4 linked regions of the Astyanax mexicanus genome follow. The protein of the gene in region 2 purifies or fractionates together with the protein of the main gene of each other region. This does not show direct contact. Links are inferred from orthologs where the notes say so. Each region holds a gene or a part of one and is shown on either strand. Other genes may lie near its edges.

The links.
Region 1: the proteins of polr2g (region 2) and ctdp1 purify together in Homo sapiens (affinity purification with mass spectrometry; 4 studies listed by BioGRID and IntAct, counting the BioPlex papers as one, with this or other methods). This does not show direct contact. The link is inferred for Astyanax mexicanus from reciprocal best matches to the Homo sapiens genes POLR2G and CTDP1.
Region 3: the proteins of polr2g (region 2) and scaf1 purify together in Homo sapiens (affinity purification with mass spectrometry; 3 studies listed by BioGRID and IntAct, counting the BioPlex papers as one, with this or other methods). This does not show direct contact. The link is inferred for Astyanax mexicanus from reciprocal best matches to the Homo sapiens genes POLR2G and SCAF1.
Region 4: the proteins of polr2g (region 2) and gpn1 purify together in Homo sapiens (affinity purification with mass spectrometry; 4 studies listed by BioGRID and IntAct, counting the BioPlex papers as one, with this or other methods). This does not show direct contact. The link is inferred for Astyanax mexicanus from reciprocal best matches to the Homo sapiens genes POLR2G and GPN1.

What each region holds. Positions count from the first base shown.
Region 1 is NC_064410.1:21,964,984-21,972,689, forward strand, and holds the start of ctdp1 (RNA polymerase II subunit A C-terminal domain phosphatase), read right to left. Parts: upstream 3,366-7,706; 5' UTR 3,195-3,365; coding exon 2,902-3,194; intron 589-2,901; coding exon 505-588; intron 347-504; coding exon 253-346; intron 1-252. Other genes in the region: sdha (succinate dehydrogenase [ubiquinone] flavoprotein subunit, mitochondrial), read left to right, coding at 5,321-5,380. UniProt on the Homo sapiens protein: Processively dephosphorylates 'Ser-2' and 'Ser-5' of the heptad repeats YSPTSPS in the C-terminal domain of the largest RNA polymerase II subunit. This promotes the activity of RNA polymerase II.
Region 2 is NC_064417.1:39,776,864-39,784,625, forward strand, and holds polr2g (DNA-directed RNA polymerase II subunit RPB7), read left to right. Parts: upstream 1-4,520; 5' UTR 4,521-4,657; coding exon 4,658-4,669; intron 4,670-5,697; coding exon 5,698-5,807; intron 5,808-5,907; coding exon 5,908-6,067; intron 6,068-6,215; coding exon 6,216-6,266; intron 6,267-6,472; coding exon 6,473-6,538; intron 6,539-6,631; coding exon 6,632-6,703; intron 6,704-6,846; coding exon 6,847-6,880; intron 6,881-7,080; coding exon 7,081-7,094; 3' UTR 7,095-7,542; downstream 7,543-7,762. UniProt on the Homo sapiens protein: Core component of RNA polymerase II (Pol II), a DNA-dependent RNA polymerase which synthesizes mRNA precursors and many functional non-coding RNAs using the four ribonucleoside triphosphates as substrates.
Region 3 is NC_064426.1:20,093,288-20,101,418, reverse strand, and holds the start of scaf1 (splicing factor, arginine/serine-rich 19), read left to right. Parts: upstream 1-4,966; 5' UTR 4,967-5,148; intron 5,149-5,256; exon of another isoform or gene 5,257-5,367; intron 5,368-6,779; 5' UTR 6,780-6,902; intron 6,903-7,057; 5' UTR 7,058-7,096; coding exon 7,097-7,134; intron 7,135-8,131. Other genes in the region: insulin, read left to right, coding at 2,998-3,175, 3,818-3,969.
Region 4 is NC_064421.1:730,072-738,313, reverse strand, and holds the start of gpn1 (GPN-loop GTPase 1), read right to left. Parts: upstream 3,191-8,242; 5' UTR 3,157-3,190; coding exon 2,980-3,156; intron 1,730-2,979; coding exon 1,636-1,729; intron 635-1,635; coding exon 595-634; intron 1-594. UniProt on the Homo sapiens protein: Small GTPase required for proper nuclear import of RNA polymerase II (RNAPII). May act at an RNAP assembly step prior to nuclear import.

The sequences.
Region 1 (7,706 bases), on a different chromosome or scaffold from region 2:
CCTGATGTGATGATTAGGGGTGGGTGATATGGCACGATATTTTAGGGTATAATATCGTTCATGATATTTAAAAATGTTGCCATTATTGCATACTCTCTAACATCTAACATTTTGTAAGACCACTTCACCTTCTTATTAACTATTTACTGCATCGCAGTGGTGCTCAAACTTTTACCTACTTCTGCAACTGTTTCTAAAGCACAAGATCAGAAGCTCATTAAAGATTAGCTTTTACTCCCCAATAGCACTTACCTCAGAGCTGACCATCAATTCAGGAACACTGTGCACCATAGAAACTGTCGCTGTAGAGATGGGAGCCTGCTGCTTTCCATTCTTATTCTGCAGCCTTAAAACACATTCACAGGAAAAGTGCTTTTTAAGTAATGGAGGCATTAATGGCTATGTGTTTCAAAGAACTGCAACGTCAATGTCAATTAATAGAAAGTCCTGCTTGGCATAAAGAATTTAATTTTAGAGATTTATAGAAAGTGTGTATTTACTCACTGTGTTAAGTCCTGGCCACATTCAGCACACAGACCCTTCATAACAATAGGATGATTGCATTCTTCTATTCTCACGACAACATCCCTAAAACAAACAGTAGCACATGAAAAAATCAGCCCAAAATAAAATCTAGCATAAGTTGTGTGTGCAAAACTGTAAATCACTTGATTACAAATTATGAGTAAAATAGAACATATCTTTGGTTATTTTTAAAATGTAAAAATTCAATTCAATTCAATCGAATCAATTAATTCAATTCGCTATGTATGAAGAACCATTGAGCTCTTTAAAGAAACTCAGAAAAAAAGCTGTAGATTAGGGCTGCACGATATTGGAAAACTGTTACATTGCAAATGTTATTATTTTATTTTTTTTACAATATATATCGCAATATTAAAAAAATGCAGGGCCCATGACGTCACAGAGTCCAGAGTGCATTTACCCCCTCGTGCTTTTCAGGCAGCAGAGGCCCGTCACTCACACAGACACAGAGACAGTGCTGTGTATCTACTTCTTGCGTCAACAATCAAAAATCCAAACAACTATAAATAAGCTATTTCATTGGTCACAACAGAATTTATAACAGTCACTGTGTGTCCACAACCAAAGCTAAGTGGATATAGATGTGATAGGGTCCCCCAGTACATGGGTGTCCACTTGCAAAACAAACTTGACTTGTAGAGGTGTGTGTGTGTGTGTGTGTGTGTATTTGTCATGCTTTGATATGCACAGTCCCATAAACAAGAGAATAGATTACAGCATATCTCTGTGGGACTCATTGTGCGGGCTCCTCAATTACCTTGTATAACCACTAGATGAAACTGCAGAGCTTATGCAAGGCTGCAGAGACTAATTAAGACAGCACTGAACGCTGTGTGTCTGCCCCATTAGTAATTTTAGCTAGGTGTGGTGTTTTCTTAACCATATCTGACTTAAACTGCAATATTTGTTAAATGGATAAAACTATTGTGTCTTACAAAAGAAGTGAATTAAAGACTATTAACACCACAAACCAGATACCCCTCTACACGGTACACAATTCAGCTCAGTACAGTGAAGTAAATATCGGTACACTGCAGATCTAATAAACATCCTTAACCACACACAAACCCAAACACAGTACTGCAGCAACATTTGAAAAGCTAAAGGAATTGCATCCAAAGTGACAAGAGTGTTCGGCACAGGATAAAGAACATTGGTTGTGTTTTTACTTTGATATCTGTTGAATGTCATCCCTCTAAAACTCAAACTATTTAAACACATATGGATCATGCAACATTCGTTGTACTTCTTTGGACTGAATCACAACCAGATAATAAAATGCAAAGTAGTTTAGAGATTTTGCATATGTGGTTGGTTTTAACATATGGATGTTGTGTAAAATACATCAATACTTTGGTTGAATAACCTTGGTTTTTCATTACAGTTTTTATGCATCTTGGCATGTTCTCCTCCACCAGTCTTACACACTGCTTTTGGATAACTTCATGGCATTCATAAATTCAAGCAGATCAGCTTGGTTATTTTCAGCTTGGTGAAATCCAAGAAACTTATTTTTAAGTGGTCTCTATATGTATATTATACGTAAATTAATTATTTAACCTGTTACTTTAAAAGACAGGGTTTAAAACTGTGACTAATTATGGACATATGTGAAACCAAAAGATGAAATAAAAACAAATGTCTTATATAAATCATATACATATACAATTGTTTTCACTGAACTGTATTAGTATATTCATACTGAAGGCTGGAACTTAGTGGATCACATATAAATAGAGAACACAATAAGGGTAACAATAAGGGTAATTATTTTAATGTTTTGTAAAGTAACAGTGTAGTGCAGGCTAAATACTGTAGATAAAATAAAGTAAACAAAATTACCTGTAGCAGAAATTTGTCAACATACATATCAGTTTTGAAATACTGTCATTATTTGGAAATACCATTATTTTACCTATCGCTGTATCCACTGCATTACCATCATAGCCTCAATCCTACTTTTTTAGTGTTAGTGCTGTAACTTAGTTAGTTCATTTTCATGCGCCGGGTAAAATTGTTTACCTAATTATGAAAACAATGTGTTTTGGAGCAAGGCAGAAGTTAGCAATGTTTGTACCTTCATGCTGTATAAGTTTTATTTTTATTTAATCTTCTTAAACTGTTGGCAAATATTAGCCCCTTGTGTAACAGGTGCCCTCAGGACTTTTATTTTGAAAAGCTCTTCTTAAGCTCAAGTTGCTGTTAGCAGCTCATGTGCCCAAATTACCACATGCAGACAGTAACCTGCTGTAACTATAAGTGACTCTGACTGTGGTGATGAACTGATCTGATCTGGGTGAATGTAGTGATGTTAATGTGTTACAGCGCCTCTCTGCTCTTTAATCAGCAGCTTACCCGGCGGATAGGTCCTGCCCGAGCTGACAGCAAAGTTCTCTCACAACTCCGGCTCGGTCCGACTTCAGCTTCTTCTCGGGGACGGTCGGTTTGTTCGGCCGGTCCCGCTCCTGCGCTCCGGACTTCTTGTCCGCGGCTGAAGCTCCACATACTGCGATAACAGAGTCCACATTAACCAGAGCTCCGGGCTTCACCTTCCACTCCAGCAGCCGCATGCAGCGCTCTCCCGCGGGCCAGCGGATCTCACTCAGCAGCGCTCCACTGCCTCCACCAGAGTCCGCGGGCTCCTCCATGCTTCTCTAGCGCCCTGCACCGATCTCCCCCCGATACACAGGCTGCTTTAAACCGCAGAAATCAGGCTAAACCTGTGAATATACAGACTAAACCAGACTATGCAGCCAGAACACAGATTCAGGTCTGTTCTCCCTTCCCGCCCGTAAACAGGAAACACAGCGAAAGTTGACCAGATTCAGTTTCCGGTTTCTTCTTCTACTGCCTCATTCTGCCGTTAACCAGTTTAAGGTGCAGCACTGCCTCCTCTGAACTGGAGAGTGAATTTCTTTTCACAACAGACAATCCAAAACACAGAATAAACAAATGTTATATGGAATAAGGGTATCTGTTTTGCGAATTTCGTTTTGTGCATATAAAAAATTACCTACAATTATTATAAAATCTACTATAAAGCCGTCCTTGTGGTAAAATAAAGGGTTATCAAAATATCCAATATATAGTCAAGAGTCTTTTATTATCATTACATCTGATTACACAGTGACCAGTGTCCTCTGGAACCAACACAGTTCAACATTGGACAACAATGCAAACATAAAGTGCAAAAGTGATTGAACAATTGAACAGACAGGACAGTGCAGTTACGGTACAATGAAATGTGTATAGTGATAAAAAGGTGTAGGGATATTTAACATACTTTAACATATAAAACAAACATGTTCACAGCAGTTACTGAGGTAGAGAGTTATACTTCTATAGAATGAAGCAAATATTGCTGATAGGGATAGAGACATCTCAGTCTCTGTGTGCTAAGGGGAGGGTTCAGTTCAGTTGTGTGGTGATGGGGGGGGGGGTCAGCTCTGTATCTGTGTGTTGAGGGGTCTGATGGTCTGATGAAAGAAGCTGTTGCAGAGTCTAATATTGGAGGCTCGGATGTTCCTGTATCTTCTGCTGGAAGGCATCAGAGCGAAGAGTCCGTGTGAGGGATGGGTGGGGTCGTCCGCAATGCTGGTGGCTTTGCAGTTGCACTGTGTGGTGTAGATGTTGGTGATGGAGGGGAGAGAGACTCTGAATATCTTCTCAGCTGTCCTCACTTTCTGCTGTGGGGTCTTGCAATTCGAGATGTTGCAGTTCCAAAAACCAGACGGTAATGCAGGTGCTCAGGATGCTTCCTACAGCCCCACTATAGAGCATGGTGAGGATGGGAGGTGGAAGATGAGCTTCTTTCAAGTCTAAAAAAAGAACAATCCAAAAATAAAAAGTGTTCAATTGAAAAAAAGAAAAACAAACAAAATAACATTAACTGGGTAGCATATATGCAAGATTTTATATATCAGTTCTTTTATTTTGTTACTGAGAATATATTTGTACGATTCTGAACACAGAAAAACCCTTAACTAAAACTAAACCTCAGATGATTTAAAAAAATCTGAATGATATATATAGTAAGTATGTAATGCTAATAATGAACCAATAATGCTAATGTTTACACAGCAGGGCAGCCAATCAAATACACACGTTTTAAAATGCTCAGTTTATCTACTATGTATAGATAAACAAAAAAAAAATATATCCCCAGTCACAATTAAAAATAATGTAATAATGTTTTATATTAAACTCTCAACTTTATTATACACTCAAAATTATTATACACACTGTGCCCTGTGTATTTATACTATATACAGCATTTTTTTTATTTAACTTCTCATTTAGAAAAAGAAAATATAAGAACTGTCGTAAGACATACTATCTTTCTTTTCATAACATAATGTATCACTCTTCTTCAAGAAAAATGAGCAGTCAGTGGACTTGAGGTTAAGGATGTCAAGGCTACTCCAGAGAATCTAAGAAACAACGCATTAAATAACCTACATAAAATAAGAAAGGCTTTCCTCTCTCTGCTGCTGTTGGTGTGCTCTGTTTTTCCGATGTGTTACAGTAAACACTGAGTAAGTGTGTCGACCGTTTAATAAACTTATAATATTTTACAGTTAAATAGTGGTGAAAGTCAGTCGTGTCGCAGTTCAGAGACAGCGCTGCTGTTGTATGATTTAAAACTGCGTCAGGCTGAGCTCTGGCTCCAGTACAGTGGGTGGCGGTTCAGCTCTTCAGTCGGTTGACACTCCCGCAGTAACTCCAGCAGCAGAGGAAGGGCAGCACTCAGACCTGTCATTAACACATTAGCAACATGGCCGCGGCGCTAGCTGCCTACCGTGTCCTCGGGAAGAGGGTGCTGTCGTATAAAACAGTAAGTAATTCTTAAAGCCTCGGAGTTTAATGCTCTTACACAGCATTATCATACAGCAGCGCGTACCGCTGTTTATATACCCTGTTACTGCCTCTCAAACCCCGCTAACTAGCCTAGCTAAACTAGCTAGCCTAGCTTAGCCTAGCCTGCTAGCGTTAGGTAACGTAACTAGCTAGCGTTAAGTAACCGTGCTGTACACTGTTATGAAAGTTCGGATATCGGTCATATCTCAGGAAAACAGTTAAATTTCCTTCAGTTTTTCCACACATATATACCAGCTATAGTTAGCTATTTTGATATGCTTTTATTATTGTTAACCACATGTTGTTGTATATTGTAGTTAATGTAGCTGGCTGTGGGCTCTACATCTGTAAACCTCTGACACTGAAGGTCAATGAAAGAAAATAACCTAACTACATGAACCTGGCTTATTTTTTAAATTCTAATGGGGGTGGTGCTAATGATGATGATTATAATGATGGTGGTTATTATTGTATAACTCTTCTCAGTGGAAAACCTTTGTGTTCTGATATTATTGTTGCTTGTTAGCTGCTGTTGTTTGTGTTTCTTATTCCCATCGCCCTTCATGTGCTCATGCTTTAATATATTTTAGAGATAAGAACTCGGAAATTGTCCTTTATGTTCGTAATAACCAGACTTTTAATAAAATCCCACCTGCAGTCAACTTCCATTGTCTTTTGTCATGGTGCTGCAACAGTCCTTAAGCAAATGCCTACAGCTAAAATCCACTTTTAAAGTGTTGCTAAATAAAAATTATTAAAACACAATTATAATTACACATTGAACAAATTGTTAATTTATGTTTGATAGAGTGGGTTGAAATATACTAGAAACTAGTATGTGTTGCACAATTAACATGTAACATTTTATAGTGATGGTTAATCATATGTTACACTTTTAAGGGTATACATTTACCACTGTGTCATGTAGCACAAGCTAAACTGTCCCATAAAGACATAATGTTTGTACAATACTATGCAAAGGAAGAAACAAAAACAAATGACCAGCCACTAAATATGTGTGCACAGGGGTACAGTCATGCCGGAACAGAAAAGGACCTTTCCCAACTTTTTCCACAAAGATGAAAGCAAATAGTTGTCCAAAATATCTTAAAATGCTGAAGCATTAAGTTTATCTATCTACCTATCTATCTACCTATCTATCTACCTATCTATCTATCTATCTATCTATCTATCTATCTATCTATCTATATATATATATATATACACACACACACGCACACACATACACACACACACACACATATATATATATATATATATTATTATTATTATTATTATTATTATTATTATTATTATTATAAATAGTAAGCAGCCCCCTTCAACAGTAAATGTAGCTTTTATATTATACACAGTGCAAACAGTAATTTGATTAATCAGGTTAATTTTATTAACCTCCCAGTCCTTACTTGAATTCCTAAAAACAACCCCATAGCTCTCCATTCTTCCACCAAACATTGGAACAGTTGGAACAGCACAGTCAACCCCAGATTCATCCATAGCCTGCCAGATAAAAAAAATCTTAATTTATCACTACACAAAACTTGTTTTTTACTCCATCTGACACTGTGGAGCTGTTTTCATCACTGCAATTTGGATGAAGATTTTCCATTGAAAGGAAAATATAGTATTACTATATAAATATATAATACTCGGCTTAATTTCAATGACATAGGGCTTGCTCAGCCAAGAAAACAGCCATGAAGCTCCCTGTGCACAGGTTTGGAAAACAGCCCTTATTGAGCAGCTCTAATTTATGCACTGTGACTCTCTGCACCTGGCATCACTCTGTAACTTTATGTAGTTTTTTTTTTTTTTTTTTCGGTTTGTGACCGGTGTGCTGTGTTTTTCTAAAAAAAAAAAAAAAAAAAAGTCCTCTATATTATTATTTTACTCTCAGTTGATGGTGAAATTGGGAGATTTTGACTTTGAGTGGACTTTGTAGAATCACCAATTTTTTCATGATTTTTGCAAAAGCTGACTGAAAGGCTAAATGCTTGATTTTATACACCTGTGGCGATGGGTGTAAATGAAACACCTGAATTTAGTGAATAACTGGTCTGTCCTGTTATTTTTATAAGTAGTTTAACACTGATCAATCAAAAGTATTCGAAATATACATACAGAATCTTAAAAAATGCAGTTCTGCACTATTTAATTTAGCTTTTTTCTGCATTGGCAAAATTATTTAAAACAATTAAAAACACACTTACACGACTGCTTTAAAAAATACTTGCATATCATTCACCTTTCATTTAACAACACTGAATACAGAATCTTTACCC
Region 2 (7,762 bases):
GCTGTAGTGTCTCCCCCCCGAGTCAGTGGGCATACTGCCGCTGCACTGGAATGGTAATAGTCACCCAGCATATACAATGTCTTTTAGAACTGGTGTGAAAACAGGAGTGAAGAGGATACGCTCACTTCCACCGCAGTAGAATGGTGTAGCAATGGTGGAATGGATTGGAGTGCTGTAAAGGCTTTCCATGGTCCTTTTTATTTTATCCACATCCTGATGTTCAATTGAATGTTTATGATATCTCAAAGCAGTGTTATATTTGACTGGGATGGAAATTTTGTGTTGGTGGTGGAAAGTATCTGTAGCTAATTAGGAACTCAGAGAGATAAGTGAATGTGAAGAATATGTATATTAATAAAATATAAATCTTTGCAAACAAGGTTCTGTCTTAAACCAAACAAATATTGTTAATGGTATCACTCAACTAACAATTCGAAGAACTTTGAGGGTGCTGTAACACTGACCTTGTTTGTTACAAAGTTTCAAACATTTCCGTTTGGCTCAAAACAATCTAGCCGGTGTAAAAGCTGTGACTCACCATGATCCGTACTGTAGTAATAAGAGTTGTTCAGATCAAATGAGGTAATCATGATTCAGACAACATGAACCATAGTCCACTTGCTAGTTTATCGTCACCCACTAAACAATAGAAGCAGAAAAAGACTTGGCGATGTGCTGAAATTCCACTGGGTGCAAACACTTTCACAGTGTGAAACTAAAAATGAACCGAACCGAATATATACAGTGTAACTCCAGTTCAGACTTTCAGATGCAAAAACACCTGAAAGTGCACAATAAAATACCCTTGTTACTGTTTTTTAGGCTGGACCTAGGGGGGTGTTGCCCCAATAATCAGTATTAGCATCAGTCTAATACTGACCAAAATCCTTAGTTCCATTACAGTAGGAAAAATATATAATCTTATATGGTCCATTTTCTTCAACTATCACAGAAGTATAAAAAACCCTAGACCCCAAGTCTACACGTGTAAAGCCTACATGCCAGTATTACAGGCTTCAGAAAGAAGTAGAATATATAATTCCAAGTTTGAACATGATGCTGTTTAGATGGCTATGTTAATAATAGCCCATTTAGTCAACTGTATTGTAAGTGTATAGCTGAGTTTAAGAGAGGAATTGAATTAAAAAAGATCATTTAAGTCAAAGAATTCCATTTAGGTAGTTGTTTATTTTGTTTACAGAATTTGAAATGCCACCTTTCTTTTATATTGTGTTGAATTTCATGAACAATGGATTTTATTAACAATGAATTTCACAAACAACAGTTGTGGTTAACATTAAATGTCATAATTTTTGTTATTTTAGTACTGCCTTATTTTTTTGTTGGGAATCATTAAAGTTTAATTGGACTGGATTAAAATTAGAGCACAACAATCAGACATTTTCACTGTTATTGAAAAACATTGAATCTCCAAAATGCATCTTTTCTAAAGAAGGAGAAAACCTTTTTAACTTTCAATAGAATTGTAATGTGAAAGATTCATTCATTCTGGGTCATTGTAAAACATTTATATTATTCCATTCATCAGGACATTTTAATACAATGTAAAGAACAACTTCCAGATTCACATTATGTCAAAAAGTAGATATAGAATTTGTATTTTGCAGGAAAGCAACAATAACTGCATCATTAAAAGCTTTGAATTAAAAGGTTTTTATCTGAGTTTTGTATTATGTTAAATGCAGGGTGGTGTCTGCAGTACACAAGGGCCATGAACTTGTGGCTGTGGAGACATCTGCATGCATTCTCTCGCTCAGCCTGTTCTGATATCAAGGTTAATGATATGAGTGCCAGCAGCTCCAGGAGAATGCGGCTGCGGAGAGAACGAGGATGTCCCCAAGGACCTTCGTCAGTTTGGACAACTCTTTTTGATGCAAACACCATGCGCCGTGCTTGGATATGTGTGGACATCTGCCCAGGCTAATCAGCATGCATGGCCTCAGTTTGGGGGTATCTGACCTGCCCGAGCAACAATGGCCAGGCAGTCTGATCTATGGCACACCGCTGCTTCTGCCTTTATACCCTCGTCAAAGAAGAGCTTTTAAAAATCGGCCTTTAAAGCTACAGAAACTGCTACAGAATCGAGATGAGCCGTTTCAGAGGGGCTGCAGAAATTAAACATGCTTCCTCCTTCTTTTCCTTCTTTCTTGGCCTCTTTCGTGCTCTGCCACATGCAATTTCTCTTTGTCATTGCCTTTCTGCACCTCCCAGTATAGATAGAGCAGTGTCTGGGGTAAAGGGCAGAGCAAGGCTGCTGAGAAGCTCTGCTTAAACACTCTTTCAGAAGAGTCTGCTGCTCTGAAATACATATGAACTTGTGGACTAAAGAAAGGCCTGGAAAATCATGAATAGCCGAAAAAAGTGTTCATATGTGTATCAATAACAAGCCAGATAAATATGGAAACCTCAGTAAAGTTGTAGAACTAGGTTGAACTAAGTTGTAGAACTAGGTAGAACTAGGCTGAATGATATATTTTTCCAGGAAGAATTGTGATAAACAATATTATTGTCATTTTAATCATGTTATGCCACTGATATTGGTTAATTATAAATAAATAAATAAACATAGCATAAGAATGCAGCTACACTCTATTATGGACCAACATTTTTTTTGATAGTTAAAAAATATTATTAAAATTATTGATTTTATATTGAATGAAAAATAAAAAAAATATTATCTTACACATAATGGGCATTACTGAGGTCAGCAAAAATATTGGGGTTACATTCAAATATTCTTAATAAAACAGTGATTGTGACTGGCCTATACAGTACTACAACTGATATGCATGTGTTTGCACATTTCATATTTTTACAATAGTTACTGCTGTATGTATTCAATTGTTTAATTCCACTTTATAATTTTACATATAGTATAAAGGGATGATCTTCTTCATCAAATTACTGTGTTACAGTGTTTCCATAACTCAACATGTTTATAGTATTTTATATATTAAACCTACCTCAACCATAGTATCTTATTATACATCTAAATAAAATAGTGAACTATAAAGGAAAGATCATATAAAAAAAAACAATTAGATGGTTAGATCATAATTGAATAATGAAATGTTTTATTCCTATGTGTGGAAAATCAATAAAATGATGTATATGGTCTAAATAAAGAAAAAATACATTTATAAAACCTCAATGCTTACATGTTTATCATGTACTGGCCCTTTAAATGAAACTCGTGTCGATCTCCACCGCCCCCTACTGGTCTAACACTGCAATAAGGGCTCAAATATTAGCAGAATAAAAAATGTACGCATAAAATAATACAAAAAATAGTGATAATAGTAATAAAAAGATTGTAATAGTATTTTTGTTTTTTTAATTTTAATTCTAATTTTTCCCATTTTTCTCCCCAATTTACACTGCCAATTACCCAACCCACTCATTAGGACTCCCCCTATCACTAGTAATGCCACAACACTCCAGGAGGGTGAAGACTAACACATGCTTCCTCCGATACATGTGAAGCCAGCCACCGCTTCTTTTCGAGCTGCTGCTGATGCAGTATTGCCGAGCAGCCAGCGCGCTTGGAGGAAAGCACAGCTGCTCGGCTCCGGTACATCAGCTCACAGACGCCCTGTGCAGCACACATTACCCTAGGAGTGATGTGGGGAGAGAGCGCCATCTACCCACCCAGAGGGAGCAGGGCCAATTGTGCTCCCTCTGACGCCGGCAGCTTGATGGGTAATAGTATTTTACATTGTAATTTAAACGAATAGCAAATGAAATTAAAAGTCGACGCTGTACTTAAGTTGTAATAAATAAATAATAATAAAAAACATAAACACAAATAAACTTTAAAAAAGAATAATGTAAAACCCAAACGTTAGATCTCAAACGTAAACTATGACTTTTCCCTTTTTTGCTCTATTTAATGAATCAATGTATTGAATTATACTGACCTCTGGTGGATATTTTATGGTAGTAATGTCGAAGGTTTTTCTTGATGTTTTGACCTAATCAATTCTTTAAAATGTGCTGACCTCTTGTGGACATTTTATGTAAAAATAAATAATAGCATTTTTTTAAAGTCAAATTTAGACAACTGGATGTGTTGCATATTTAATAAAAAAAAATCAACGAGATGGATTTAATGGATAACAGCGAAAACATTGATTACGAGAAACATTCATTGATTGGAGTATACAATATACAGTGGTAAAAAGAGCATGGGCTTTGCGCATTAAAAACACTTTATAATGCTTCTTTTTTCGTAAATTAAATAAATATCTAGAGCAATTAGTTAAACAGTATTTTAAAGAGTCTCCCTCTAGCGGTGCGCAATCATTTTCAGGTATAATGGGGAAAGTAACCTATGTAGGATGTGGGCAGGCTATTTTATAGATAAATGAACAAATGAAGTATACAATTTGTGTATTATATCATCCATGATTTAGTGTCCATTTACCTTTTTTTCACATAACCTATAATATAAATACTGTTTAGAGTTTATAAATAGCTGTTTACTCTGAGCACAGACTCTTATTTTGAAATCGGGGTACCCGGATGTGAGGCAGATGTTAGCTTTGTTCGGCGGCGCTAACGCTTTAAGCGCAGGACGTGTTCCAGTCATTCAGCGCGGTTTATTAATAATACAAGACTAAATACATCCAGATCAGAGATGTTTTACCATGTAAGTTACTGATGGGTTTATTAGGACTTTGATATAGAATTCAAATAAACCGCTAGACCATGAATTAGATTAATAGCTGTTGGACAGTGTTTATGAGTGTGTGCTGCATGAATGTAGTTGGCTAGCTAAAGCTAGGCAGTAGGGTAGCCAGGTAGTAGCTAGCTAAGTAAGTTAAAGTGTTCTGTTGTGTTTTTTTTTTTGACATCCAGTTAAGGGGAAGACTGTGTATAAGAATACTTAATTTACTGTACATTTGTGTGGCCATTTCCACCTTACTAGCTAGCGTTACCTATGTAAATTATCATTTACATACCTTGCTAAATAGCTTAGCAAGTCACTTATGATCTGGTAGTTTTAAGAATTCAACAAGTTAGCCACAGAGTAGTAAAGGCCACTTTAATAGTAAAGGGCAAATTACCTAGTCTTTTTAATGGCTGAGAATTACCTGAGTGTGTAAGATGGTATTCAGCTTTGGTAGCTAGCTAGAATATTGTTTTATGTGCAAAATAATACCCACCCTACAGGTAGCTACATAATGATCAGTTTCTCTCTTTTAACTATTTATAGGTATATGCTTACGTACAGTTAACATGTGTTTTTTTTTTATTCTGTAAACTAGTGACAACACTACTTCCGAATTCCAAATAAAATCGTCATTTAGAGCATTTATTTGCAGAAAATGAGAAATGGTCAAGATACAAAAGTGCTTTTAGAACTCAAATAATGCAAAGTAAACAAGTACATGTTCATTTTGAAACAACAATACTAATGTTTTAACTTGGGACGATTTCAGAAATCAATATTTGGCCGAATAATCTTGATTTTCATCACAGCTTTCACACATCTTGACAATATTTTCATTTGAAAATTGGGAAAAATTTTGTAAGTAGTTTAAAGCAACTGTTAATTTTACTCAAACATACCTATAGCCTAAATAGTAAAATCAGAGAATCATGACTGATAATTTTGAAGTGGTTTCTTCATTTCTGACCATATCTGTATATATTATATATTTTATTTTATTGTAGATTTCTCTGGAACATGAAATCCTTCTTCATCCTCGATACTTCGGTCCAAACCTCTTGAACACAGTCAAACAGAAGCTCTTCACAGAGGTGGAAGGCACATGTACAGGAAAGTAAGTCCCACTGCAGAGCTTTGCACCACATTTAATATAATATTTAAAATGTCTACGCTATTAAGCTGACATTCTTCGGTTTGTTTCTTGTTTCTCTAAGGTATGGGTTTGTCATCGCAGTGACCACAATTGATAACATAGGGGCAGGTGTTATACAGCCAGGACGAGGGTTTGTGCTGTACCCTGTCAAATACAAGGCCATCGTATTCCGGCCCTTCAAAGGGGAAGTGGTGGATGCTGTTGTCACTCAGGTTAACAAGGTACGGATTCAGCATGTCTCCCAGTCATGATTTTTTTTCTCACTAAGTGTTTACACTTGTGTGAGTTTGTTTTCTTTTCATTTTGTGCTATATTGTATAGTTTCGTAAGTGTTTTAATTGTTTAGAATTATTTGCCTTCTCTTTACAGGTTGGATTGTTTACAGAAATCGGGCCAATGTCTTGTTTTATTTCACGCCATGTAAGTTGATCCATATTACCATCAATATAATTTGTCACACAGACATTATACTCAGTATAAAGACTAGATGTTGTTTATTTAGATAGTTATATAGATACTTTTTTTAGTAAAGTATATCTGCATCTAATTTTGAAAGCGGTGTGGATTTCATTGCTGAGTACAGCTTACATAAAAAGCTAACACACTTTTGATCCTTTGTTGTTTAGTCTATACCCTCAGAAATGGAATTTGACCCAAACTCTAATCCCCCCTGCTACAAGACAGTGGATGAGGTAAGGTGATAGGTGATTTTTTGTTTGTTTTAATACACTGTAATCAATGATTTTGTTACAACAGTTGAATTATTTATGTCTTTGCCTCCTTAGGATATTGTTATCCAACAAGATGATGAAATCCGATTGAAGATTGTGGGTACTCGAGTGGACAAGAACGATATTGTAAGTGTATGGTTACGTGTGGATTGTTGTGTAACATATGCATTTCATGGCACACCATAGTTGTATTAAAACACAGCAAAAACTCTGCTTTCTTATGATGTGTCCAATTATCATATTTTTACTGTATTACCATTTTTTCCTAGTTTGCCATTGGCTCCCTCATGGATGATTACCTGGGTAAGTGTTCTGTAACTACACCAGAGGGGCTTATACAGAACAACTATAAGTTCTTTCTGTTTAAATTATAATACAATAAAAATAGAAGAAACTGTAGTGATACTATTACGTTGCATTATTTGAAGACAGAACATCATCTACTAAAAAATAACAAATTGTTTTGTTTTTGTTTCTGAAACGTTTTGTTGTTTTCTTTACAGGTCTTGTGAGCTGAATGATCTCTGAAATAATCCAGAGGACTTTTACATTCTCGGACATTTTTTTGTACATAGTTCAATATACAGTGTAGAATCTAGAATACAAATGTTCCTGTGATTTATTTTTTCCCCACAGTAGTCTATGCTAAATTGTACTTTTTTGTTTATTAATTTGCTCATGAGAGTTATAAGAGTATTCCTTCCCTGTGTATTTGCTTTGGCCATATTTTACACAATTGGTATCTCCAATGTTACACAGAAATGAATGTTCAATTTATGTGCGTTTTTTAATCATTGGTAGTGTCTATATAATGTCACACAAAAAAAAAATCTGATCAAACCAGATTAAGAACTTTGTGTCCCAGCCAAAGACATTAAACCAGTTTGATCCAGCCAGCTTTACTCAGAATTACCAGGGAAAACTGTATATATTTTTTTTTTATAAAAAGAAAATCTCAAGAAAAAGTAATGTGTTTGGTATTTTTTTGTGTATTTCACTGTGTGTGTGTGTGTGTGTCCTCTTCCTCTTTCATACTTAAGTGCCAATGTGGCCAATCATGAATCTGCATCAACAGAAACATTGTGTACACACATGGCAGTAGCAAAGCTGTAACAACCAGGCTAAAGCAAATGTGGGAAAGAGAACAATTATGTATTGAGTTGATTTATGTGGTTTTAAGGGATT
Region 3 (8,131 bases), on a different chromosome or scaffold from region 2:
TAATTAATGTAAAATCCGTTACATAGCCAGAAACTGTCAGAGTATCTTAGTTCATATTATACATTGTTATTGCTTAATAAGAATTAGTGTATTGTCTGTTTGTATTGCTTTCCATGACGTTACTGAACAATAATCCGTAAGCTCAGGATTTCAGGTTGCATGCACTGCATGTACAGCATTTTTACAATGTAAAAAAAAACAAGATTTACATTATTTCAATTGTAGTTCAAAACTGAAGAAGATAAAAGTTTTTTGCATAAGAGATAATATATAAATATACTCATTTTAATGTCACATTTTGATGTTATGTAAATATAACATATGTAATTTTGCAAATCTGTAAGGGGTCAAAAAAACCCGTTACACAGGATGTTATAAACATGTAATAAAGCAAATAAAGTGTTTATTTGTTCTTACCTTGTAGGAAACTTGATGCACTGGATTCTGAACAGTCCAGCTGATGTGTGTGTATGAAGGTGTGATGTCTGTGTATATGTGTGTATTCTGTGTGTGCTCCTCCTCAGCCTTTTCTAATCTGTCCTAAGACTGAGCTCTTAGTTTTCCTAATCTAATCTCCACCCGTCTCACCGTTTCATAACCTCGCATGTGTGTGTGGTCATTCTGGACGGACCATTAGAGTGACCATCCTTTTCTGTAATTACCACTGCAGTGGATAGGACTCTATACAGTGCAGGACAGTATAGAGATAAATATAGATCTTACAATTATACTATACAGTGGTGAGAAAAAGTGTTTGCCGCCTTCATAATTTCTTATATTTTTTCATGTTTGTCACTCTTAAATGTTTTTCATTATTAAACAGATTGAAATATTGCTCTAAGACAACACATGTAAACAAAAAATGCTATTTTTAAATGAAGGTTTTTATTAATAAGGGAGGAAAATAATCCAAACCTACATGGCCCTGTGTGGAAAAAGTGTTAAAACTTAACTTAACAATGGGTTTTCACACACGAGTTCAATTTCTCTAGCCACACCCAGAACTGATTACTGTCACACCTGTTCTCAATCAAAAAATCACTTAAACAGGAGCTGCCTGACAAAGCAAAGTAGACCAAAAGATGCTCAAAAGCAAGATATCATGCCAATATACAAATAAATTCAGAGGAAAACAAAGGATAAAGAAAAGTAATTAAAATCTATCAGACTGGAAAAGGTTATAAAGCTATTTCTTTAGCTCTAAAATTTTGGGACTCCAGTGAACTACAGTGAGAGCCATTATCCATTATCCAAATGGCGAAAACATTGGGGAAACAGTGATGACCTTTCCAGGAGTGACTCGTCGAACAAAATTACCCCAAGAGCACAGCGCTGACTCATCCAAGAGGTCACAAAAGACCACACAACAACATTCAAAGAACTGCAAGCCTCAGTTGCCTCAGTTAATGTCAATGTTCAAGACAAAAAAACAATGCTGCGCAAATAGACCATTAAAGCTTGTCTCAATTTTACCAGAATAGAGAAGTCACCGTGTCTAATGCAGGGCATCGACAAGAGGAGTGTAGAGCCCCTTAGCACTGAGCTGTGGATCAGTCAAACTGTGTTCTCTAAAATGCTGAGATGAAGAGTTGGGAATGAGGTGGAGGTGGTGCTGAACATCCTGAAACAGAAAGAAGACCACAAGGTCCTTAAGAAACCTTTTTAGGGTTCTTTCATTCTATGAAACTGTGGAGGAACCCATTAAGGTGCCTTGAGAAACTCTTAAAAATGCATAAGGTGATGTAAGGAACATTTTCTTATAACAAACCTTTTTAAAAGCTACCCCAAAGCACATCACAGGGCTCCATAAAATAAAAAGTGAAATAAGAAAATAAATAAGGAAAGTAAGAGGTCAACAGACAGAGTGGAAGAGAGAAATAAATGACAGAAAGACACAGATGACCTATTGTCCGGTGTCCTTTCACAGTGAGAGTGAAGTGAGGGATGAAGGGAGGATGAAAGCGAGCCAGTGGTTGGGACTGGGGGGGCTCAGTCAGGTTTAATGAGGGTAATTAGAGAGAGAGCAATGGATGCTCAGATCAGGGTAATCATTCGAACAGACTGCAGGTGATTAATTGGAGGCAGTTCAGATAGAGCGCAGTGATGGACTCTCATTATGGGGGCACATATCAGTGGATAGAATGCATTAGGGACAGAGAGAGAGAGAGCGAGAGAGAGAGAGAAAGAGAGATGTTGTGGACATAGCATCCTCAGGTTTTTCTGCAAACTGACACTCATTCTGGCTGAACTCACCTGGAACAGAGACAACACAGGTAAGTTTAACTTTTTTTTACTGCATTTATCATATTAAAAACTGTATTTATATATTTAAAGTATGCATTCTTTAACTTTACAGGCCTGGGATTAAGCCTGCTTGACAACTATGCTATTTCTTCCATTAATTACATTTTTGCTCCTGGACCAGGAACAAAAACCCAATTTTCCAAACTGTCATTTTCCAATTTATAGCAATACATACAATTAAAAATTATACACAAAAACAGAATTGTATGATTTTTTAACACATGCTTGTTGATAAAAACTGAGTGAAAGATTTAAATAATATCATAATAATAATCTGACAAATAACTAAAATACCGTTTGTTGTATCTGTGACATTTTATACCAAATAATTACAGAGGAAGTTGGAGAGACAGTCAATAATATGGAAGCTAGGAGTCAATTTGTACATATTCTGTGTATAAATTGTGCCTAACATTTACACCAAGCAATAGTAATAGTGAGGAATTAAAAAACTGATTCAGTGATGATTAAGTGTAAAGATTTTTCTCCTTACATTTTGTAAATAATATATAATAAGTTCACCAACGTAAAACTGAGATACAGCACGATGGCCAAGGTCATACAGCAGTTTTTGAGGAAGGATTCCAGGATGCAGTGTAATGCACCTCTAGAATGAGCCGTAAAGCGATATACTAATAAATACTGTGGCATTAGTTGGAGTGTGTGTGTGTGTGTGTGTGTTCCTGTTGGAGGATGCCGAGCCCCTCTCTGCTGCTGCTGGTGTTCTGCGCCACCTCTCTGCTGCCCCCCTGTGGCGGGTTCGGGACCCGCAGGCTGTGTGGTATTCAGCTGGTGGAGGCCCTGCTGTTCGTGTGTGGAGAGAAAGGCGTCTTCTATCAGCCCGGGAGGCGCATCAGACAGGAGAACCTTCGTAAGCGTTTATATGTGTGTGCGTGCGTGCGCGTGAGATTTGTATGGAGTTAATTTTGTGCCAAAATTAAAATTGCAAAGGAAGCAAACGAGAGCTTCCAGAAGCAGAAGGCTTTAGCAGCAAAATCAAAAAAATTAATACAAAAAAAAAAAAAAAGAAAGCAAAATCCAAACGCAAATAATTTCGAGTAAATGCAAAGGATAATAATAAAGTAACCAATAATATTTAAAAATATATATGAATGACATCCTTTTGATTCTTACAATTTTTATTGCAGATTTTTTGTTTTTGTTTTAAAGCTTTCGGCACAAAATTGTGTTAATTTTAATGGTATTGGTCTCTAATATCGCCTGCACAGATCTCCACATCTAGGATGGGGCCTACAGGCTATGTTTAAAAATAATTAGACATTCGTATCAGTTATGTGGTAACAAAGCACACTGCTGAGTGTAACCTACAGTAAAATTGACTGTAATGTGGCTAAAAACAATCAACTGTAATGCCATCCCTGGAAGAGTACAGACTCTTAATGCAGAAAAAGATAATAAACAAACTCCCTATTAATGGGCAATTAATTTGAATGGGTAAATTCCTTTTATACTGTCGTAGACTGAAAGAAAGATTCTGCCTGTCTCTCCCCAGGTGTGATGATGAAGGATGGTGTTCTCTTCCCACTGGAGATCAGTGAGGTTCTGCAGAAATCTGGATCCAGAATGAAGAAAAGGGGTATCGTAGAGCAGTGCTGCCATTTTTACTGTGACTACTATGACCTGGAGAACTACTGCAACACCTAGAGTCACCAGTATTTGTGCAAACGCAGCCTGAACGGACAATGATGCAAGATGCTTGGATCACTGACCAGTAGTTCAAGTACACAAATGAATGTTATTCATAAACTGCTCAATGTCACTGAACAGCAGAAACCAAAATGTAACAAATAACACAATAAAATCATTCTGATAATTTAAGGGTCATCACTTATTTGTTTCTGTATATTTTTTTAACATGATTTTTAGCTAATAAAGAACAAGGAGGTAAAAGAAAACCAAAGGCCTGTGCAGGCGACATAAATGTTTAGAAGGCAATAAAACCTTTTAGTATCTGGGTTAATATTTTTATTAAATAATGTGCCTTTTGTTTTACACAGTATAGTTGTTTAAATTTCAGACAGGCACTGTGTAACTATACATGTTTCAGTTTTACTAAATGAAAACATAAGTGAAAAAAAGTTAATAAAATTCACTTTAAAGTTCTTTTTGAACATTTTATATATTTTTCTTTGATGTGATCCACAGTGCTGCCTGAATATGTTGAACATTAAATTCTTAAATACCAAAATAAGTGTATTATTATTATTATTATTATTTTTTATTATTATTATTTATTACTGGTATATTCTGTTGTACACAGTTTTAGGTGAATTAGCTGCTAAGATAAACAGTTCTGTGTGTGTGATATACAACAAAATATGTATTTATTTAACATTGTATAACATACAATTTTTTAATCATTTAACTGTTTTTGAAAGCTGATTTTTTTACAATATACTAATATAAAAATATACGCATACACACGTTTTTTTAAATTATGAAATGTTTAATAAAAAATAATAAGTAAAACACTGCATTTTGCAAAAATCCCAATTTTTGGGGGTGCTGTAAAACTTTTTCCCGGTAGTGTATATTTATATATAAATATACATAAGTAACTAAAAATAAATACGTAAATCAAAACTACATCAAAAAAAAAACGTCAGAAAACTACATTTCCCAACAGCCCGCACCGGCTGGTTTCACAGTGAAGGAAATAAAATGGCGGACTAGGATGGGATGGGCCTCTTATTGTGTTCTTAATAGAAAAAAATGTTTCAGGCTTTTATATCGCCTTTAAGAGGCCGCTGAGGATCCTTTAAGGAGCTTTAGGAGATCAGGAATTTGGATTTTACTTTACCGGCCCGTTTCTGATCCCAGAAGGTGAGTAATTTGTTGTGTCGGGGGTAGACTGGATGTTGCTAGCCCAGCTAGGCTCGCTGCTAACCGAGTATATAACTGGAGGCGAGCGGTGGAGCGGCTACAGGCGCTGCAGCTCCGCTGGGTAAAGCGGGGGAGCAGTGCGGTACTCTAATTATTAGGCGAGGCGGGTTTGTGTTGGCTGTCTGGACACAGCGTCCTGTTTGCTGTAGAAATATTCAGGTATAGTTGTTTTTTTAGTGGTGGTTTAACGTAGGTTATAATAACACGGTTTGGTAGCTAGCTTAGCTTAGCACGGTTAGCCAGCGGGTTCGCAGCAGTAGCGGAGGATATTCCGCTTGTTAGCCGGGGTTAGCTACAGTCTGGACAGCTGGCCTGTACTTGTATCCTCCTTTAACAACAAGCTAGTTAGGTTAGCTTTCTAACTGCTGTGCTTGAGGTTTAGACTTGTGGAGTAGCTAGAAAGTAGTTAGAACCAGGGGTAACCCAGGTCCAGAAAGTAAAAATCCATCCCAGCTGAGTCGCCCAGGCAGCAAAGTCAGCTAAGGTTTGTGTTGTTACCCCTACTCAAGCTCCAGTAGTGCCTTAAATAGGTAACTTAAGTAGTTCCATTAGTAAATGTTAAGAGGAACTGTTTATGGTAGACACCAAAAAGAACACAAAATATAATTTCCAGTGGAGAATTCCAGCTGACCTTATTTACCTTAGATTAAGCTAGCTGTTGTTCCCTGACCTAACACTCAACTTGGGAAAGGGGTCTCTTTAAGCCCTGAAAATAAAAACATACATCTCTGAGAAAAATGAGACTACTTAACATGATGAGTTTCTTTTATTTTACTAAATTGAAAACCTCTGGAATAACACAAGTCATCAAACCAAGCTGAACTGCTTGAATTTCTGCACCAGGAGTGGCAAAAAGCAGCTCATAAGACTGGTGGAGGAGAGAAATGCATTGAATCTGAGATTAAAAACATCAAATATTAATTTCTGAACTCTTAAAACTTTATGGATATTAACTCGTTTTCTTTGCAATATTTGAGATCTGAAAGCTCTGCATCGTTCTTGTTATTTCAGCCATTTCTCATTTTCTGCAAATAAGTGCTTTTACATGACAATATTTTTATTTGGAATTTGGAAGAAATGTCGTCCGTAGTTATTAAATAAAACAACAATGTTCGTTTTACTCAAACATATATCTATAAATAGCTAAATCAAGAGAAACTAATTCAGAAATTGAAGTGGTCTCTTATTATTTTTTTTTTTCAAGAGCTGTATTTATCTTGCTTCACATCTCAATCTTCTGTGGCAGAATCCTAAGATTTAACCTACACCTACGTGATTTCTCTCACTTTTCCTAAACTTGTCTCTGGTGAGGGATATGGACTTTTATTCCGCTGTCTTTAGATGGGCACAGAGAAAGAGTTTGATTAAAGTAAATCAGGCCTCCTCCAAACTAAGTATAGTTAGTAGTTTATTTCACAGCTAAGGGGCCTTAACATCTGGGACAGAGACAGAATAGATAGATACAAAATGTGTGTTTCTGTGTGTGTGGTTTGTCAAGGAAGTCAAGTCACTCCATAGTTATGGCCGGTGAGATTCATGCAGGTTCCTTTGTTTACTCTCTCGCATCACAGCTTAAAGAACATTCAGATGAAGTGGAAGAAGAAGAGGAGGAGTCTGAAGAAGCCAGAAGGACGACTGGCCTAAGGTGTTGCCAAGGAAACAGAGCGACCACAGATGATGAGCCGAGAGAACTGGTAAATGTAAAATGGCCAAGAAATCAATCTGTCAAAGGATGGGTGATCTCTGTTCCTCCTCCTGCTTAATGTGGACCATCTGCCTGTAGTTTAGTGAGGATTGGAGATAGCCCTGAATTGACCCCATGGCATTGTTTGTGTGTTGTGTTGCGCAGGAGGCTTCTGCTGCTACTTCCTGTGACACTACATTCCTTATGCCTCAGCAGTGCACGGAATTTCATTTTACCGACAGGTAGGTTTCAGCAGCATGAGAAAAGTTGTGTGGTTAAAGGAGAACTCTGTTGTGAAATTAACTTTGGGTGTAGTAAAACATGATAGAAAACTAACCTTTGTTGAATTGCCCACCTCTTTCTCATGCAGCTTTCATAAATTCAGCAATTTTAGTCCAGTTGTCCAAACACCCTTTAGGCTAGGGGGTATGGGGCATATTCTTGCCCCTGCAGATACATCGCTTTTTACACCGTTATCCAGAGCACATAATGTTGCAGGCACATCTTCATCTTCTCATCTGTTATGCTTCTGTCAACATTACGTGCTTGTGACCCTACTGATCATGACTCCCTTAAGATGGCAGAGCCCAGAGATGTAGGTTATGCTACAGGTTGTAAACAGGGTTTTTTAATAAACTTCTCATGCACTTTTTAAGTTCTTAATACCTCGTTTTAAATATCAGGGCTTTCTGGATTCTACCAATAAGGTGTGGAACTATTTGAGCCTGGATAACGGTGAAAAAACGCAATGTATCTGCAGGGGCAAGAATATGCCTCGTATCACCCAGTCTTAATGGTGTTCGGACAAATAAAATAAAATTGCTGGATTTCAGAAAGCTGTGGGCTATTCAACAAAGATTAGTACTCTTTATCATGTCTTACTACACCCAAAGTCAATTTTACACCAGAGTTCTCCTTTATGATATGGTCAATCTGCAGCATTTACATTTACATTTCCATGTGGCTTGTTCATCCTGTATGCTGGTGTATAAACTAGGGGTGTGCCATATCGTATCTTCTGCAATAATATCGCCAAAATCTTTTTCATGTTGTTAACAATACTATACCCTAAAATATTGTGCCATATCACCCAACCTTAAATATCACATCAGGGTCAGACATTATCATATCTGTTCTTAGCAAAAACAATTCACACTGTTCTCATTTCACATTTATATATTTACTAGAGATGGATATATGGAGATATTTGGAGTGCATTATTAGACTTTCTTAATCATT
Region 4 (8,242 bases), on a different chromosome or scaffold from region 2:
CCATTATGTTGACTAATTATTGACATAATTGCCATTCAAACATAGGAATTTTCTCACTACAGGACAAAAGGAGTAAAATGTTTTATTATAGACACATTATTTTTCACATTATAGACTTTACCCAGTAATTCAGAGCTAAGAAACAAATGGTTAGAATTAGTCTATGGAGGAAAAACACCACCAGCCAAGTAAAATAGAGATAGGTAGGTGTTTAGATGTTTAAAGCAGTTGGATTTTTACTCTCTGGAGCTGGACTATCCACCTCTGTGAGTAACTATAGGTTTAAATAGGATCTCCGGTGGATTTGGTGTTTTACAGAGACTCTAAGACTAGGTCAGTGTCTGAACTGCACTAAGCAGGGCATTATTACACATGTTGTAAAGTAACATATGACATTGCAAAGACTGTTATTAGTGTAAAAATGTCTTAATTTTAAAACGTCTCGTCTCTAAAATCTTCCGAAACAACTTAAACAAAATAACGAGTAAATTAGTTTTAAGTATTAATCTATTTGCAAATATAACACATCTACATATAACATAAGAGCTCATCAGTCACGTCACAGTGAGTCGGTATGAGAGCAGTAAAGGATACTGTTTCATCACTTCTTTATAGTTGACCGTGTCTCTGATATCTGCAGATAAAACACAAAACAGTATTAATTATTAAATCTCTTTATATTTAAATTTAACACTTAAAACATTTAAAACAGACTGGAGATGCTGATGAAACTGAACACTGACTGGGGGCGGAGCTTCCAGGAGGAATCTGGAACCGAGCTTTATGGGATCTGAAGTTTTTACACTAAATGTAAACTTACTGCTCGTACAAAGCACTAGAGTACTAAAGCACTTAGAAGGGGTGATATTATACAGCTCTGTAAAAAATGAAGATTCCACTTCAGTTTCTGAATGAGTTTATCTGATTTTGCTATTTATAGGTTTATGTTTGAGTAAAATGAACATTGTTGTTTTATTCTATAAACTACAGACAACATTTCTCCCAAATTACAAATAAAAATATTCTCATTTAGAGCATTTATTTACAGAAAATGAGAAATGACTGAAATAACAAAAAAGATGCAGAACTTTCAGACCTCAAATAATGCAAAGAAAACAAGTTCATATTCACAAAGTTTTAAGAGTTCAGAAATAATCAATATTTGGTGGAATAATCCTGGTTGGTTTTTAATCACAGTTTGTTTCATGCATCTTGGCATCATGTTCTCCTCCACCAGTCTTACACACTGCTTTTGGATAACTTTATGCTGCTTTACTCCTGGTGCAAAAATTCAAGCAGTTCAGTTTGGTGGTTTGATGGTTTGTGATCATCCATCTTCCTCTTGATTATATTCCAGAGGTTTTCAATTTGGTAAAATCAAAGAAACTCATCATTTTTAAAGGGCTCTCTTTTTTTACAGGGCTGTATACTAATGTATTGCAACATTTTGTTTTGTAATACTGTATCAATTTTCAAAAACAATAGTATTGATTAGTTTAGTATTAGCTTAGATGTAAAGATTGGTGTCAGAAGTGGTTCAATAAGTTTTGCGTATAAGCTCCGCCCACTAGATAGCAGTGTTATATTCTTTCATTAGATCCAACTGTTCTGATTGGATAAAAATTTTACTTTTACCGATGTTGGCTGGAAACGGGACTTCGTGGACGGCAGGGTCGAGGTTAATAACGTACGGAGGAGAATTCTTAGAGTGGAGAAAAGCAGTGAGACGCTGTAAAATAAAAACAGAAGATAAAGAAATTATTAATATTATTATTATTATTATTATTATTATATTATATATTATACCATGCATAGGCCTGTCAAAATAATTATTGCTGTGTGGACAATATATTAATAAATATATACATAAATAATTGCGATAAACAATATTATTGTCATTTTACATCCATTTTATGCCACTAATATAATGCTATTTTAATTCTGATGAGTATTCAGACATTCAGACTGACATTAAACATTTTTTTTTATATAAGCCCCTCATAAAAAAGTCATAAATAAAATGAAATCACAGTTTTGTAAGTTTTTAAGACTTTCTGGCAATTCACATGAATGTGCTTTTCTCAATCAGATTTTTTTTTTTGTTACACTATTATAATTTTCTACAATTTTCTTGGTAAATGTACTGTTTCCAAAATAAACAAAAGTTTACAGATTTATTTTATTTCTACTAAATGAAAAAAAAACGGTAATATTTATATGAACTAAAAATATTTGTATTTATTTTGTTGCACTTATTATTGCAATTATTATTATTTTTTAAATCAAAGTTTTGTCAAATCACCAAGAATATTATTATGATAAAAAAAACTGAAATAACGTGACAATATTTAAGCGCCACCTCTATTCTGTAAATAAAATATTAAAATAAAAAGTTCATAATATTTATAATAAGACAATATATATTTTTTTATTGTTTTAACAGGCCTTGAACTAAACTCCAATATAAAACCAATACCTATCCAAAACCTCTGTTTATAAAATATCTATATTTATAGTTTTATTTAAATCTGGAAAAGTCTGCAATGACTATTTTATACTTTAAATTAGAACTTAATAAAGTAAAAAACTTGTGTGATATGTGATTTCACATATTTTGATCCAGTGTTTAAATGTTAAATAAAGTAAATAAAGAAGATAATAATAATATTAAAACACATTAATATAAAAACAGATAACATTCGGGTGTTTACATAGTTCTGAACATGTATTTAATGATTAATGTGTGTGTAATAATTAAGCTGAAGTAAATGTACAGCACTCTGTGTAAAGTTTAGAGAAGCTAAAACTGATCTATATTTTCTATTTTTGATTATTTTTAAAGCTAAACTTGGATTCTTTTCGAATTGTCCGTTCCACCTTAAATAGAGCAGTAGCAATAGAAAAACACCTTCAGGCGCCAGAATGGAACTATGGAACATTTAAGGTGGACCGGAGGAGATAGCCCTCGTGTATCTGTACCTGTACAAACGTGGTTTTCCCGGATCCAGCCATTCCCAGAACGATGAGACAGACGGGCTTCTCCCGCGGGCCGCTCTCCCCGCCCGCCCCGGCCTCCTGCTCCCCCGCGGCGGGTCTATCCTGCGGGTTTTCTCCCGGAGCTCCGTCCCCGGTAATAGAACCACCGGCAGCCGCCATGCTGTACACTACCGCAGCGCCGCGGACCACGTGACTACAGCTTTCCGCTCAGTACCGCTACTGTCCGCTAGATGGAGACAAAACCACACTTTATAAACCCGCCATAGTAAATAAATAGTAAAGTGATCAATCAGATTATAAAGAAATACATAAATAATTCATTTAGTAACTTAAAAACAGTGTTAAACAAACCTAAAACTCTTTTAACTTGTGGTTTCTGGGGCTGGTAACTTTGATAAACTTATCCTGTACATCAGAGGAAACTCTCGCTCTTCCTTGTTTTCCTGATGAGAGCCAGTTTCATCATTAATAACGTTTTGATGGTCTTTTTTGTGGTATCTGCACTTGAGGATACTTTCAAAGTTCTTGAAATTCTTCTTTTTTTAATTGACTGAACTTCATTTCCAATTTCTTAAAGTTTTTTTTCTTTACGTAGTTGAGTAGTTGTTTCTTCTCATAATCTGGATTCGAACATTACTCAAATATTCACTATTCACTGTATACCTGTAACTCTACCTCTTCACTACTTTACTTTAACTGATGCTCTCAAACACTTTATTAAGAGACAAGAAATTCAAGTAATTAACTCTTGATGAGTTCAGCACAGCTGTTAACTAAAAGACTGAATTCCAGGAGACTCTACCTCATAAAACTGACTGAGAAAATCCAGCAGAAATGTTCAAAACTCATCATCTAAACAAGAGGAGATACTTTATATATGTATATATATATATATATATACAATGTATATACAATTTAAACAAAATAAAAGCCTTTAAATAAAATCTTACTTTTAATGCATTATTTGGATAAAATATATAGGAAAAGAATTGGAAAAAGTTCTCGACAAAATATTTACAGACAAATTATGATCAGACTGTACCTGAGGTGGGAAAATGTATTTACGGAAAGGCTTAACTAATAAACTAAAAATCAGACAAAAATCAGTATTTGTAATAAAATGATTAAATGTGACCACAGGCAGGCGCTGCTGCATCAAAAGTGAATAGAAAAAATAAAAACAAAGTTAAAAACGGTGTGGCTGAATAACGTGTTATTTTTACAATAAGCAGGAACTCATTTTCAGTGATGAGTCCAGCTGCGGATACTGGAACTGCTTGATAGCTGCTGTGAAGCTGGAGACGATGAAACCGAAACTTTATGTGAAGCTCTGCTGCTCTTTATACAGCATGAATATCAGTTTAGGAGCGTAAACTGTTAAAAGCACTGTCTGATATAGATCACATTAAAACAATGACACAATAGCATATACAGACACTTTTACCTGCATGTATTTTTATACCTCTGCATAAGTTTTGCTATGGAATTCATGCACTCTAGTTTTTTAGTTCTAATTTTAGAATATTTGCAGGTAACTGACGTTATTTTAAGATGTTATTTTATACATTCTTTCTGATTCTCAGCTTCGTCATATTAATAAATAAGAACTCTGAATGTGTAACAGCAGTAGATGGGTCTGTGTAAAAGCCTCTGAGAGGAAGTGAGGCGAGAGGGAAAGCCGGGGTAATTCCAGTGTTTAGAATAGTCCACATAATTCTGGTAAATCAGCTCTGAGTGATGATGTTTCCTCAGCAGGTCCAGCTGCTTCCGTACAGGAGCTCCCAGAGCTTTGGTTCCCAGAACCAAACCTCGCCAACATCTACTGAACACTAATATACAGTCATTAAAGCAGCCGTCCTTTAGAGTTTTTTAGGTGTGCAAGGCTTGTTTTGATGCTAATTGCTATCTTACCCCCCACCAACAGTCTATTTTCATTTGAATATCAGCAGAGCTTCTGAATATATCTACACTGATGGGCGTGGTGTTCTGGAAATGAGGTGTGTTCAGGTACATTTCTGGAGTTTTATCTTGTTTATCTTGGTAACAGAAAACACAGGAGCTCCACTGACTGAATACAACCTAGACAGACGCCAACAGTCAGACGTTCATCGCTATCTCGGTAACACAGGCACTGTGCCGAGCCGAGCGTACGCCCCCACTTATTACACACACATGAACACACAGCAGCACAAACCCAACTTTTACATCAACAATAAACAGAATAGTAAATAAAATAACATTGCTGTTCCCGTAAATGAGCTGCTGGAGCTCCTTCACAGCGTCAACCAGCAGCTCAGTTTCCTCTGCTGAGAAGAGTTTGTTGAACACGTCCAGGTAGCTGCACCGTTACAATAGCAATCCACCAAAGACAGAGCTCACCTGACTCTACTCTTAAAGAGAATGATGAGCAAACAGATAACACTCTGATTGGTTTATTTATTTCACGTTACGCCCAAGGTGTACTTTTCCCGTTGTTACGATAGCAAAGACACACTTGACTGCTTGCATAAACATTGCTAACAAAGAGCCCATTGAGTATTTTTGGGGAGAGGGTCAGCAACATGCTAATTGGTTGTTATTGGCTTGTTTCTAATAAAGTGGCCAGTGAAAATACAGCATTGGAAAACACATAATTAAGTCTATAGACTTTCTTGGGAAAGTATCAAATGATTTAGACAGAAGTTAGCACTATGCTAATTGGTTGTTATTGACTTGTTAGCTGCATTAGCTTCGTAGCTAAATAAAAAACAAAAATCACATCCCGTTTAAAACTGATTTAATTTAACTTTAGAGAGAAAGCTGAACTCATTTCCAGCAGTGTGGGGTTTTAATATCTCCTGCATGTTTTTTATGTGTTTCTGTTTATAGAAGCGCAGCGTCTGCAGAACGTTCTCCAGGATGATGAGTGTTTTACAGGGAGGACGTTCTGCACCGGGGTCACTGTCCCTCATACAGATACTGCAGATAGGGAAGGAAAAGGATGAGCCCGGAGTGGAAAAACAGATTTCACATAACCCCTGTTATCTGCTGTACACTCCCCGGCCACTTTATCAGAAACCCCTCCCTCCCTGCTGTACAGTTACAGGACTACAGTGTGTGTTAGCTGTTCTTTATTCTTTACTCAGAGATCAGTTACTTTACATTATTATATTCATGTTTATTCACTGTATAATTATTTATTCACCACTGTGCACTATTTACCATCTACTATACACATTATACTCATTACCTATTAGGATTTATTCAGTATCCACTATGAATTGCTCAGTAACCACTATTAATTACTCAATACTTACTATGAATTACTCATAATCCACTTGGAATTACTCAGTACCCACTATGAATTACTTTGTATCCACCATTAACTATTCAGTGGGCACTATGAAGTCTCAGTATCCATTATGAATCACTCAGTATCCACAACAAATTAGCCAGTACAAACTATGAATTACTCCGTATCTAGTATGAATTACTCAGTACCCACTATGAATTACTCAGTACCCACTATGAATTACTTTGTATCCACCATTAACTATTCAGTGGGCACTATAAAGTCTCAGTATCCATTATGAATCACTCAGTATCCACTACAAATTAGCCAGTACAAACTATGAATTACTCAGTATCTAGTATGAATTACTCAGTACCCACTATGAATTACTCAGTACCCACTATGAATTACTTTGTATCGACCATTAACTATTCAGTGGGCACTATGAAGTCTCAGTATCCATTATGAATCACTCAGTATCCACTACAAATTAGCCAGTACAAACTATGAATTACTCAGTATCTACTATGAATTACTCAGTACCCACTATGAATTACTCAGTATCTACTATGAATTACTCAGTATCCACTTTAAATGACTCAGTATACACTATGAATTATTAGTGCCCACTATTAATTAGTCAGTATAAACTTTGAATTACTCAGTACTCACTATAAATTAGTCAGTATCCAAAAGCAATAACTCAGTATCCACTCTGAACTATCTACTACATACTATGAACTATTCAGTAACCACAGTTTAATATGTACTGTAAATTACCCAGCATCCACTATGAATTGTTCAGCACCCACTGTAAATTATTCAGTATGTACTGTGAGTTATTATTTATCATCCACTAGGAATAGTTCAGGATCTAGAATTAAATATTCAGTGTCTACTATCAATGATTTAGTCACAAACTAAATATAATTCTGTATCCACTCTGAATTATTTAATATGTGCAGTGGTGCTCAGTGCTGGTGTTTAAAGGGTTAATAGTGAAGATATAAAGAGGTGTTGGAGGAGAAACAGAGCTGCACTGTGTTCTGTATGATCATGTGGCCACACTTTATCACATCATTTTACCTTGTGAATCTAATTTACTATAAAATCATTAAATGAAACACTCAGATCAATAATCTCTTTGTAGTGAAGAGCAGGGTCATCATCTCTCTGAACATGTGATACATCTTATACATACTGGATACACAGGAGACACACTGACGCAATATACGACCTCTTTAACCCCTCCACACACACACACACACACACACACACTGTAACATACACACACACATACACACACACACACACACACTGTAACATACACACACACACACACACACACACACACTGTAACATACACACACACATACATAGTATAACACACACACACACACACACACACACACACACACATACTATACCACAAACACACAGACACACACTGTAACATACACACACACACACACACACACACACACACACACACACATACTATACCACAAACACACAGACACACACTGTAATACACACACACACACACACACACACACACACACACTGTAACATACACACACACATACATAGTATAACACACACACACACACACACACACACTGTAACATACACATACACATACATAGTATAACACACACACACACACACACACACACACACACACTGTAACATACACACACACACACACACACACACACTGTAACATACACACACACACACATACACACACACACACTGTAACATACACACACACACACATACACACATACACAAATACTATACTACAAACACACAGACACACACTGTAATACACACACACACACACACACACACACACTGTAACATACACACACTGTAACATACAAAACAAACTGTAACACACACACACACATACATAGTATAACACACACACACACACACACACACACACATACTATACCACAAACACACAGA